Linked DNA regions of Cricetulus griseus. The protein of the gene in region 1 binds, or shares a complex with, the protein of each later gene. Links are inferred from orthologs where the notes say so. Each region holds a gene or a part of one and is shown in the gene's direction. Other genes may lie near its edges. The genes, in order: Hypk, Naa10 and Naa50.

Region 1 (3,263 bases):
TTCTTTCCTGTTCTCAATCCAAATGTTACAGGTTTCTTTTCCTCACTTTGCAGCCCCTGCCAACTTACCCCTTATGCTTTGCCCCAGACCCCTTCTACCACTGTCCTAGATAGCAGGAGGCAGATTGCTGAGGTCCCCAAATGGAGAAGGATATAGAGCAGTAGGCTACTAGAAGACTCTGAGAGAGGGCCTCCTAGAGTGGTTGGGAGCTGGTCAAAGAAACAGGCCCACACACAGCAAGACACTGAGGATAGAGCAGACATAGGATGCAAAGGTGAAGCTTTGCAAGGGTGATGTATACTGTGTGGGGTTAATCGAAGGTAAAATCCCAAAATCCTCAATCCTACCATCTTGTGGTGAGCTACGTAGGATTGCCTTTTCTAAACACTAGCAAGATTTTCATTGTAAGACCTTAGTATAGGCTTGAACCACCTATTTTTCCCTAAGGCTATATGGATGGGAATGTGGGATGAGAGGTTTACTGACTACTGAGGCAAAGAACCGGGTTTGCCTCCCCAACTCTTTTCCAGCCAAGGGCATCTTCAAGTCTGCCCCCTCCAATGCCCTCTCACCTGATAAAAGGGGGTTTTCACTATGACATCGCCGATTCCACCGTGCTGCTGTGCAAGGCCCTGGCTGGTGGTCTGGGCTGTCACCGCTTTTGCTCCTATCATTTTTGGCCCAGAGGTTAGGCATAGATCCGTTACTGGAAGAGCTGATGAGGAACAGCAGCTTCTCAAGAATTTTGCCCATTGGGCAGTCGCTGTGCTGGGCTAGTCACTCAGTCTTAAAGTAGTAGAATGGGCATGTTAGAAAATGAATACAGATCATTAGGAAGTGGTAAATGCAAATACTTTTGTGAAGATTCCTTCACTGGGCTTCGTATTCCGGATCATTTGGACTGTCTTCTGAGATTAGGAGTAGTTGGCCTATCTGATCTGGGGATTAGTTTTTAAAATTGGTTTAGGATTTAGCCATCGGCCGCCTTGGTTGGTCAGAATTCCTTGGGGGGGGGTGTTGTGGGAGGGCGGGAAGGGGAAGGAGTGAAGGGATATGAAAGGATTGTTCTTCGGTGAAGAAGTGAGGCTGTGCATTTAGGTGGTGTGGGTAGTGAACAGATTAGTCGAAGGAGACTGCAGAAAACACAAGCCTGAGAGGAGGTCAAAAGCGAACCAACCGCCTTCCTAGCAGAAGCTTCTCAAGACAGGCACAAAGATGCGGTTCACAGCCTGCCCCGCCCCTATCTGGGCGGAAGCTGTTTGCCGGAAGTCGTGAAGCGGCAGCGTATGCGGCGGCGCGGTGAGATCGAAATGGCGACCGAGGGAGATGTGGAACTAGAGTTAGAGACCGAAACCAGCGGCCCAGAGCGGCCTCCCGAAAAGCCACGGAAGCATGACAGTGGTGCTGCTGACCTGGAGCGGGTCACTGACTATGCGGAGGAGAAGGAGATCCAGAGTTCGAATCTGGAGACGGTGAGGTTGACCGGGAGCTTGTATGAGAGGGCTTGAGAACGGGGTAGGGGTGATTTGAGACTGACCCGTTTGCTCCGGCAGATCGCGATAGTGGGAGTAGGCAGTAGGATGGGCATCAGCGACAACACTCACCCAGTCCGCGAGTTGCTTAAGAATGTGATGGAGATTGGGCTTAAATGGATCTCAGGTGCAGGGAATTAAGTGTGGTCTTTTGGTCCCGAGAACACTGGTCATTGTGAATACTTGAAGAATCACGTGGTTTTTATTTTATTTGGTTTTTCGAGACAGGGTTTCTCTGTGTAGCTTTGGAGCCTATCCTGGCCCTCGCTCTGGAGACCAGGTTGGTCTCGAACTTACAGATCCACCTGCCTCTGCCTCCCGAGTGCTGGGATTAAAGGCGTGCGCCACCAACGCCCGGCGTGGTTTTTATTTTTGGTTTTGTGTTTTAGATAGGAAAATTTGGGTCTCATGGTGGTAGGTAACTAGACTCGTGTTTCCTACAGGCTATGTCCGTCATTGGAGACAGACGGTCCAGGGAGCAAAAGGCAAAACAGGAGCGGTAAGTTTAAAGCACACTGTCAGCGTAAGGGGTCCTCATTCTCCAGAAAAAAAACAAGTTTTTAACCAATTCCTGTAGATCTAGGGTTTACAACTTTGTTGTAGTGACACTGTTTTTAGGGGAAGGAAAGCCTCCAGTGGGAGGGGTGGGCACATTTATTTAATATTTTCAGTCAACCTTATTCCACCTGTTTGCAGTGTGAAATTGGGATGTTACTTTTGGGAGTTTATGGCAGAGGTTGAGGATGAAGACAGATGCATATATACACATATATTCACAGGGAAAAGGAGCTGGCGAAGGTCACGATCAAGAAGGAAGATCTGGAGTTGATAGTGAGTAGTAATGCTTGGATGGATGCACAAGAGAAATTCTACTTAATTTGGGTTCCTAACAAGTGGAGTCAGGGATTAGTTGACACTTTTATGCCTGAGAGGAGGCATCGGTGACATGATTTACTCTTTCCTTGCAGATGACAGAGATGGAGATCTCTCGAGCAGCAGCAGAAAGGAGCTTGCGGGAACACATGGGCAACGTTGTGGAGGCTCTTATTGCCCTAACCAACTGATGATGTGCTTTTTCAGACATTCTGGACTGATTTACTGAAATAAAGTGTTTTATTATGCTGTTCTTTTTTTTTTTTTCAGTTTTATCTCAGATTAGATGCATTATATATTTTTGTTGTCATTTTCTATGTTGGACCTTCATGAAATTATGAACAGTCAATATAAAGAAGTACCTAACGTTTAAATACAGGCTCTATTATTATTATGCTTATTTTGTGTATGCGTCTGGGCATTTTCCTGACATTGTGCTTGATGTCAGATGACAACTGTACTTCCACCATGTGGGAATCGAACTCAAGTGCCCTTTTCCAAAAAGCTTTTCACCAGCCTTAAATAACATTCTAGGTGGTATGCTAGTCTCATTCATCTGACTAGCTCTTGGTAATATAGAGTACATTGGTATCCTCTGTAAAAGATCCAACTACATGTGCTTCTAGGATAGTTTGTGCATTTTATTTTTTTCAGATAGGTTCTTCCTGTGTAGCCCAGGGCGTTCTCAAACTCAGATGCCTTCACTTAATACTTGAGAGCTGCAATTTCAGTCACCTTTCCCAACTCTCTAGGCTAGCTCATGAATACCAAAGGACTAGCTCCTACTAGGGTTTTTTAAGTTACCAACCTCATTCATAGGCTACTGGAGTAAAAATTCAGGTTCTGGATGTGGGAATA
Region 2 (3,005 bases), on another chromosome or scaffold:
CATACAAAGCTTCTTAGTGCTGGTCTAAGAGTAAAGAGAGATGATTAGGGCATGAGCAAGGGTTGAGAAGTGACTGGCACCAGGAAGCATTGGGTGAGAGGAGATGAAAGGGGATGGCAGAGAAAAAGGGCCATGAACAAAAGTAATGAGGGACCTATAGCTCTGGATGTCCTGATAATTGATGGCAGGTCTACTCAGGACACAGGCATCTCCATGAGACTAGGATTGGAGAAAGGAACTGGCAGTGCCTACTGCCACTTGAAAGTGGGGCTGGAGTGAACTGATTGGAGGACCCATTGAGTCACACTAGGCTTTGATGGGGTAGAGTGAAGATGGGACTATTGGGACAGGACAGTGGCCTTCAGGCTTTTCTGAGTTCACTACCTAGATTCATGGAGATCTTTGACCTAGTTAAGTATGCCTTTGGTGGGGACTGCTTCACATGCAAAGTGAGCAATTCCCAGCTAGGTGTGGTAGTACATGCCTCTTAATCTCCGCATTCAGAAGGCACAGGACTGTGGGTTAAGGGCCTGGCATAGGGAGTTCCAAGTCAGTCTCAGCCACACAGCAGACCCTGTCTCAAAAGGGGGGTCCTAAGGAGATAGCTTAATTGTAAGAACCTGAGTTTGATTCCTGGCACACATGTATAAAAGCCACATACAGTGCCCTGTACCTATTATCTTAGTGCTGAGGAGGTTAAGACAAGAGAATCCCTGGGTACACTAACCAGTCAGCCTAATTGAATGTTCAAGGTCCAGATTCAGTGAGAGACCCTATTTTGAAAAACATAAAGTGGCCAGGCGTTGGTTCCGCACGCCTTTAATTCCAGCACTCAGGAGGCAGAGGCAGGAGGATGTCTGTGAATTTGAGACCAGCCTGGTCTCCAGAGCGAGTGCCAGGACAGCCAGGGCTACACAGAAAAACCCTGTCTCAAAAAAAAAAAGTGGGAAGCAATTGAAGAAGATACCCAACATATATCTCTGGCCTACACATGTACACATGAGGATGTGTATACACACAGCAGTTCTCTTGTCTTTAATGTCTTAAGAATTAAGGGCTTCACTCAAAAGACACAAGTCCTTGCTATTCAGGCTAGGGACAGAGAGCAGTGGCAAGTTTAGGGATGGGAAGTATCCTGGATGCTACATTGCTGCTTGGCTTTACTGAAGAGAACAGAGAAAGCCATCATGGCTGTTGGAAAAGAGTCCATTCAATGAAAAATTTAAAAAAATCAATTCAGGCTGGCTTTTGCCTCCCCTCTGCAGAGGGAGATGACAACCACCCTAGTAGCCTAAGAACCAGGTGTGTCTCCATCCTACCCCCAGGATCAGTGAAGTGGAGCCCAAATACTATGCAGATGGCGAAGATGCGTATGCCATGAAGAGGGACCTTACACAGATGGCTGATGAGGTAAGAGTTCAGCCAGGCCAGGGCAGCAATTCCAGCAGTAGAGGGGATTCCAAACTTGGGAAAGGGGGCTACTTAAGAGCTGTGACTCCAGGGGCAGTGGTGGCTGGAGGGAAGACTAAGGTTGATTGTCAGCACTTGTAGCTATAGTGGTAGGAGTCAGAGTCCCCCTTTCCCTCACTTCCTAAGCCTACAAGTAGGGGCATGGCCTTGGTTGATCATAGAGGAGGCCATGAGATGTTCTTGGGGGAAGAAGCCTGCAGGTGGAATAGGAGAGACAGTAGGAAGAGTTTTCTTTCTATCTCGGGACTGGGATTACTAGGGCCAGGGGCAGTCATGGCCAGCCTGTTCAGATCTAGGACCAATCTGGGCTGGGAAGAAAGGGTTCCTGACCAAGCCTCCTGGGGCTAGGGCAATTCATGCTGTGTCTTGGGAGCTCCCCAGAAGCCCACTTGAGGGCAGCAGGACCCTTGACATTTTACAGATGAGGAAACAGGCTTGGGGCAGAGCTACCATTGAACTGCATCTCTACCCAGTCCTATTTCCTGCCTTGGCCCTACTGCCTCTCATTGTATCCTTCCCCACAGCCAGCCCCAGGGTCTGGCTCCTCTTGTCTCCTGTCTGGAGACTTAGGCCCTATCTCTTTCAACCCGCTTCCCTCTGGGCTCCCGTCGGCAGCTGAGGCGGCACCTGGAGCTGAAAGAAAAGGGCAGACACATGGTGCTGGCAGCCACGGAGAACAAGGCGGAGGGCAAAGGCAACATGCTTCTGAGCTCGGGAGAGGCCTGTCGTGAGAAGAGTCTGGCTGCTGAGGACAGTGCTGGGGACAGCAAGGACCTCAGCGAGGTCAGCGAGACCACAGAGAGCACAGATGTCAAAGACAGCTCAGAGGCCTCTGACTCTGCCTCCTAGAGCCTGCCCCACCTGGTTCAAGCCTCCCCCCATGTGCTTTTACAATAAATGTGGTCCTGTGGCCTTGGGGAATTTGTGAATGTGCCAGCTCCTTCATGGTGGGGATATCATCTTCACAAACCAGAGCCCACTTAGCTCACAAATCATTTGGCGAATCTGGCTACCTTCAGCAACTGAGTAGGGTTCAGCTTAGGTGCCCTATTCTGTCACCTTCCTGGCCTGCAGGCCCCATTGACTTCCTTACTAATTTTCCAGGGCTGAACTAAATGATTCCTTGGGGCTTTCTAGTCAGCCTCGGGTTTCAGAGGCATCTTTCCCACCTTGATGCTCTTGGCTGTGCTGCTTCGACCTCTTAGGTCCCACTCTTAGCCCTTACTTTTAGAGAGGCTGTATCTCCTTGCCACTACACCCAGTTTATACAGTGCTTGAGATCTAACTCAGGGCCTCTTGCCCATTAGACAAGCACTCTAGGAACGGAACCACACTCCTAGCCTTAACTGTTGGCCTCAAAGTCCTGATCCTTTAAGGGGTTCTTCAAATTCTGCCCTTCACCATTACCAGGCTAATCTCTTTTGTTTACTCAACTTCTTGAGACAAATTGTCCTTAGCCCAAACTGGCCTGGAACTCATACCCCAGCTGGCCTCAAACTTGTGGTAATCCTCCTGCCTCAGGCTACAACGTGCTG
Region 3 (3,654 bases), on another chromosome or scaffold:
CCAATTCCAGGGGACCCTGCACCCTCCTAAGTGGTACACAGGTATATTTGCAGATGGAAATGTCCATGCCCATAAAATAATTTTTAGAAAAAAAATTGAGTGCATTTATTTAAGATGTCACAAATTCATATAAAAGTGCGTACTATTTACAGATGACCTATTCCTATCCTCCCATTCTTTAAAGTGACGTAATTTACTTAGGATACCTAGAAAAAAGAAAATGATACAGAAGTTTTTAGACAACTTTATATTTCAGGATTTATTGAATTGTGGTTGGAAATTGTGGGTGATGAGTATTCTTGTTATATTTGGTTTTAGTTATATATAAGGTACCTAAAATGAAACCAAGATTGCAATCTAGGTATTCAGAAGTTTGAAATCATTAATACCAGTAATAGTTGATATATTTTATTCAAGGTTATCAGTAACTTGCTCATTTGTAATAGTTTAATAATCAAAGTTAGAGATAACCTAGTTGAGATTATACTTGAGTCTCAGAAGGCTTCAGTATGAAGAGCCAAGACAGCTTGGCATGGTGGCTCATGTCTTTAATCCTAGCACTTGCACTCAGGTGGCAGAGGCAGGTGGATTACTGTGAGTTTTAGGCCAGCCAGAGAGAGACCCTGTTTCAAAATCAACTAACAAACATAAAGAGCTAAGATAAAAATCACAACAACAGATTGTTTCATATTCATATTGGGGGAGATTAAATTATGCAGTGTCATTCTGGAGCGTAATGAAAGAAGCTCAAGAAGATATATTTAGGCAATTGAGACTGAAATGTATTTTTGCTGTTGTTTTTAGTGTCTATCTTTTCTGGGAGGGGCATGTGCACGAGGTTACAGGTATCTAAGGAGGCTAGAGACGTCAGCAATCTCGAGCTGAAGTTACAGGTGGTTGTGAGCTGCCTGGTGGCAGTGTTGGGTCAGACAGAACTCTGATCCTCTGGTAGACTGAGCCTCATCTCATGATAGTTTAACCTTTGTTATATATAAAAATAGGCACTGATCCTCCTAATCTCAGCCTTCTGCCTTGCAAGTGGGGGAATTAGGTTAAAACTGTAAAATTGTTGTCAGGTTTACTGATAACGAATTGACTAACCTTTGTTAAATATTGGTCATTATAAAGAAAGTGTACAAAATGTAATAGTCTACCTCTGACCAATTTGAAGCTATGTGTGGTTAAGAGTTGAAAGTTGATGAAACTGTCTTATATATGTATCTATGTCTCAGGCATGTCCAGATCAGCAATGAGTCAGCGATTGACTTCTACAGGAAGTTTGGCTTTGAGATTATTGAGACGAAGAAGAACTACTATAAGAGGATAGAGCCTGCAGATGCTCATGTGCTTCAGAAAAACCTCAAAGTCCCATCTGGTCAGAATGCAGAGACACAAAAGACAGACAACTGAACAAATTACAAAAGAACTTTCTTGCACTTGCTTGTCGCCAAATAAAAGAAAGACCCATTGATTCCCCTCCCCCTTTCTTCAGCTTTTCTCCCTTGATATTCCTCCTTTCTTTCCTCTTAAAGTTTGTAATACTTTCAAGGACTCTTAAAAATGATCATGTTTGGATTGTTTCAGTTCTCTTATTTTTGTGAGGTGGTTGGGTTGAAGGAAAGAGAAAATAGGTCTGTATAGTTTCACAGTTAAGATGTCCTCTCAAATTGGGTATCAGATGATTTCAATTTTTTTTAACATCCTGCTTTCACATTGAAGGGCAGAGCCTACAATATTGTTTATTTCAAAAAAAGCCACAGCAATATCTTATTCTCTAATTCATAGACAAGCTTAGTGTATTTGTGGTACTTTGAGTTTTAAAGACTATCTGTGGGATGTTAATCCCTGACATTGCCTTCACTCTACCTTTAGTCCTTTGAGTACTCTCAGGAGTTGGACCATTGTTATCCTTGTGAGAAAATACTAAGCTGATTTAGGGTTTTAAAGCAGTTTTTCTCTATTTGCTGATTGCTGGGGCTGTTTGTGTAGTTAGTATTAGACTTTGATCAAAGTATTTCAGTTAAACTGCTATTTAGCTGATGAGTGGGTTGCTTGTTGGCAGGTGTTTTTTTGTTTTGTTTTTGGTGTTTGTTTTGGTTTGGGGTTTTTTTTTTTTTTTTCTTCCTGCTGTTAATCTTGTTGCTAGAGGCATTAACTTGTAGAGTATGAGCTGGTGAAATTAACTGTTTTAATATCCCAGCTAGAGATACGGCCTTTAACTGACCTAAAGAAGATTGTTACAATTGATTTTTTTCTCTTGTTTTTCAGTAAGCCCAATAATAGTGTAACCTTAAATGGAGTTATATCCTTATAAGCCAATACCCCTAAATAAACCCGAAGCAAGTGTTTTCTCTTGGACATATAAAATTACATATAAAGCTTAGATGGACTTGTAACACATTAAGTGTTACCTAATGTCAACTAATACAGATTGTTAGAACTGTGGTCATTGAGTGTTTGATAATATATGAAAGAATTTCTAGACAGTATTTTTGAAAATAACATTGTTATGCTATTGCTTATCTGTTGGAGAACATCCCAGATTTGCTTACACTCTGTGCCTACAATGTTGAGTTTAAAGAGTTGGAATAAGAGGAATTGACAAATTCCTTCTATTCTTGGAACAATAGAAGTATGAAGTGTTAATACAAATATCACTGTGACCTCCAGTTGACAGGTTTGGTTAAGGCCAGATCATTTACAGGCACATTGGTAGTGGCTCTGATGGGTTGAGAACTATAATGTGGAGACATGTGAGATACTCATATTTTCCTCACATAGCCTCATCTCAAAATACATGGCATTTCTTAGATTGTCAGTAGTCATCAGTGGCTCGAGAAATGTTCTTACTAGACTTTAAAACAGAACATAGTATGTTTTCTCTCATTTGACTTTAAAAGGAAGTTTAATATATCTTCTTTGGAAAATTGTGGTATGAAAGTCTTATTTCCAAATAGGTTAAAAAAATGCTTATGCACACTTTATAACTCTTAAGTTTTTTGCTTGTTTTGTTTTGTTTTGAGAATGTGAAAGTACATTAAGTGGACTTCAGTAGTCTTGAGTGCCAAGAAAATACAGACAAGGGGTGTGATTGATGGATGGACGGACGGATGGATGGATGAATAGGGTAGTGAAATTGTAGAAATACCATGCTTGTTTCTTGGGTATCAGTTTTCTAGACAGTCCAAATCTAAGCTCAAAAGAAAAGTTTAGTGTTAAGCACCTTTATTTCCATGGATAAGCTTCAGCTTACTCTTGCCAAGAGAAGAAGGCATAAATGATAGAGTGGAATTAGTTTGAAGAAGTCAGCCATTTTGTAAACTTCCAGATAGCAAATAGATTTTGATATATAAAAAGTTTTCTGAGATGACACTGCCTCTATTTCTATAACCATTTCACTTGGACTATTTGAGTAGTCCTATGAATGTATCCCTAAATGTGTTTATTGAAACCGAATAGCTGCCTCACAACAATTAAGTACATGTTATTTAAAGAGGAGGAACAAATAATAAAGTTTGAATTGAGTGTGTAGGCTCCCTATTATTATTTCCTTTTTCACACTAGTCGGTGATTTAACCTAAATTTTAATTGTATGTAAAGGGTCAATTGTCCTGTATCAAAGTTGCATTAAATAATTCCATCCACTTACATAAG

Evidence for each region.
Region 2: the proteins of Hypk (region 1) and Naa10 are in contact, whole or in part, in a crystal structure (PDB 6C95), measured with the Homo sapiens proteins. The link is inferred for Cricetulus griseus from reciprocal best matches to the Homo sapiens genes HYPK and NAA10. Residues at the interface, in NP_057484.4 of Homo sapiens: Lys27, His28, Ser30, Gly31, Asp34, Leu35, Arg37, Val38; in NP_003482.1 of Homo sapiens: Glu24, Tyr26, Lys29, Tyr30, Tyr33, Lys59, Glu134, Lys136, Tyr137.
Region 3: Hypk (region 1) and Naa50 share a complex: the UniProt entries of both Homo sapiens proteins name them as parts of the N-terminal acetyltransferase E (NatE)/HYPK complex. The link is inferred for Cricetulus griseus from reciprocal best matches to the Homo sapiens genes HYPK and NAA50.

What each region holds. Positions count from the first base shown.
Region 1 is NC_048599.1:56,958,888-56,962,150, reverse strand, and holds Hypk (huntingtin-interacting protein K), read left to right. Parts: upstream 1-1,264; 5' UTR 1,265-1,286; coding exon 1,287-1,472; intron 1,473-1,975; coding exon 1,976-2,031; intron 2,032-2,311; coding exon 2,312-2,363; coding exon of another isoform or gene 2,364-2,371; intron 2,372-2,500; coding exon 2,501-2,596; 3' UTR 2,597-2,662; downstream 2,663-3,263. UniProt on the Homo sapiens protein: Component of several N-terminal acetyltransferase complexes. Inhibits the N-terminal acetylation activity of the N-terminal acetyltransferase NAA10-NAA15 complex (also called the NatA complex).
Region 2 is NC_048604.1:1,832,216-1,835,220, forward strand, and holds the end of Naa10 (N-alpha-acetyltransferase 10), read left to right. Parts: intron 1-1,325; coding exon 1,326-1,410; intron 1,411-1,994; coding exon of another isoform or gene 1,995-2,085; coding exon 2,086-2,319; 3' UTR 2,320-2,395; downstream 2,396-3,005. UniProt on the Homo sapiens protein: Catalytic subunit of N-terminal acetyltransferase complexes which display alpha (N-terminal) acetyltransferase activity. Acetylates amino termini that are devoid of initiator methionine.
Region 3 is NC_048597.1:46,254,718-46,258,371, reverse strand, and holds part of Naa50 (N-alpha-acetyltransferase 50), read left to right. Parts: intron 1-1,232; coding exon 1,233-1,410; 3' UTR 1,411-3,654. UniProt on the Homo sapiens protein: N-alpha-acetyltransferase that acetylates the N-terminus of proteins that retain their initiating methionine. Has a broad substrate specificity: able to acetylate the initiator methionine of most peptides, except for those with a proline in second position.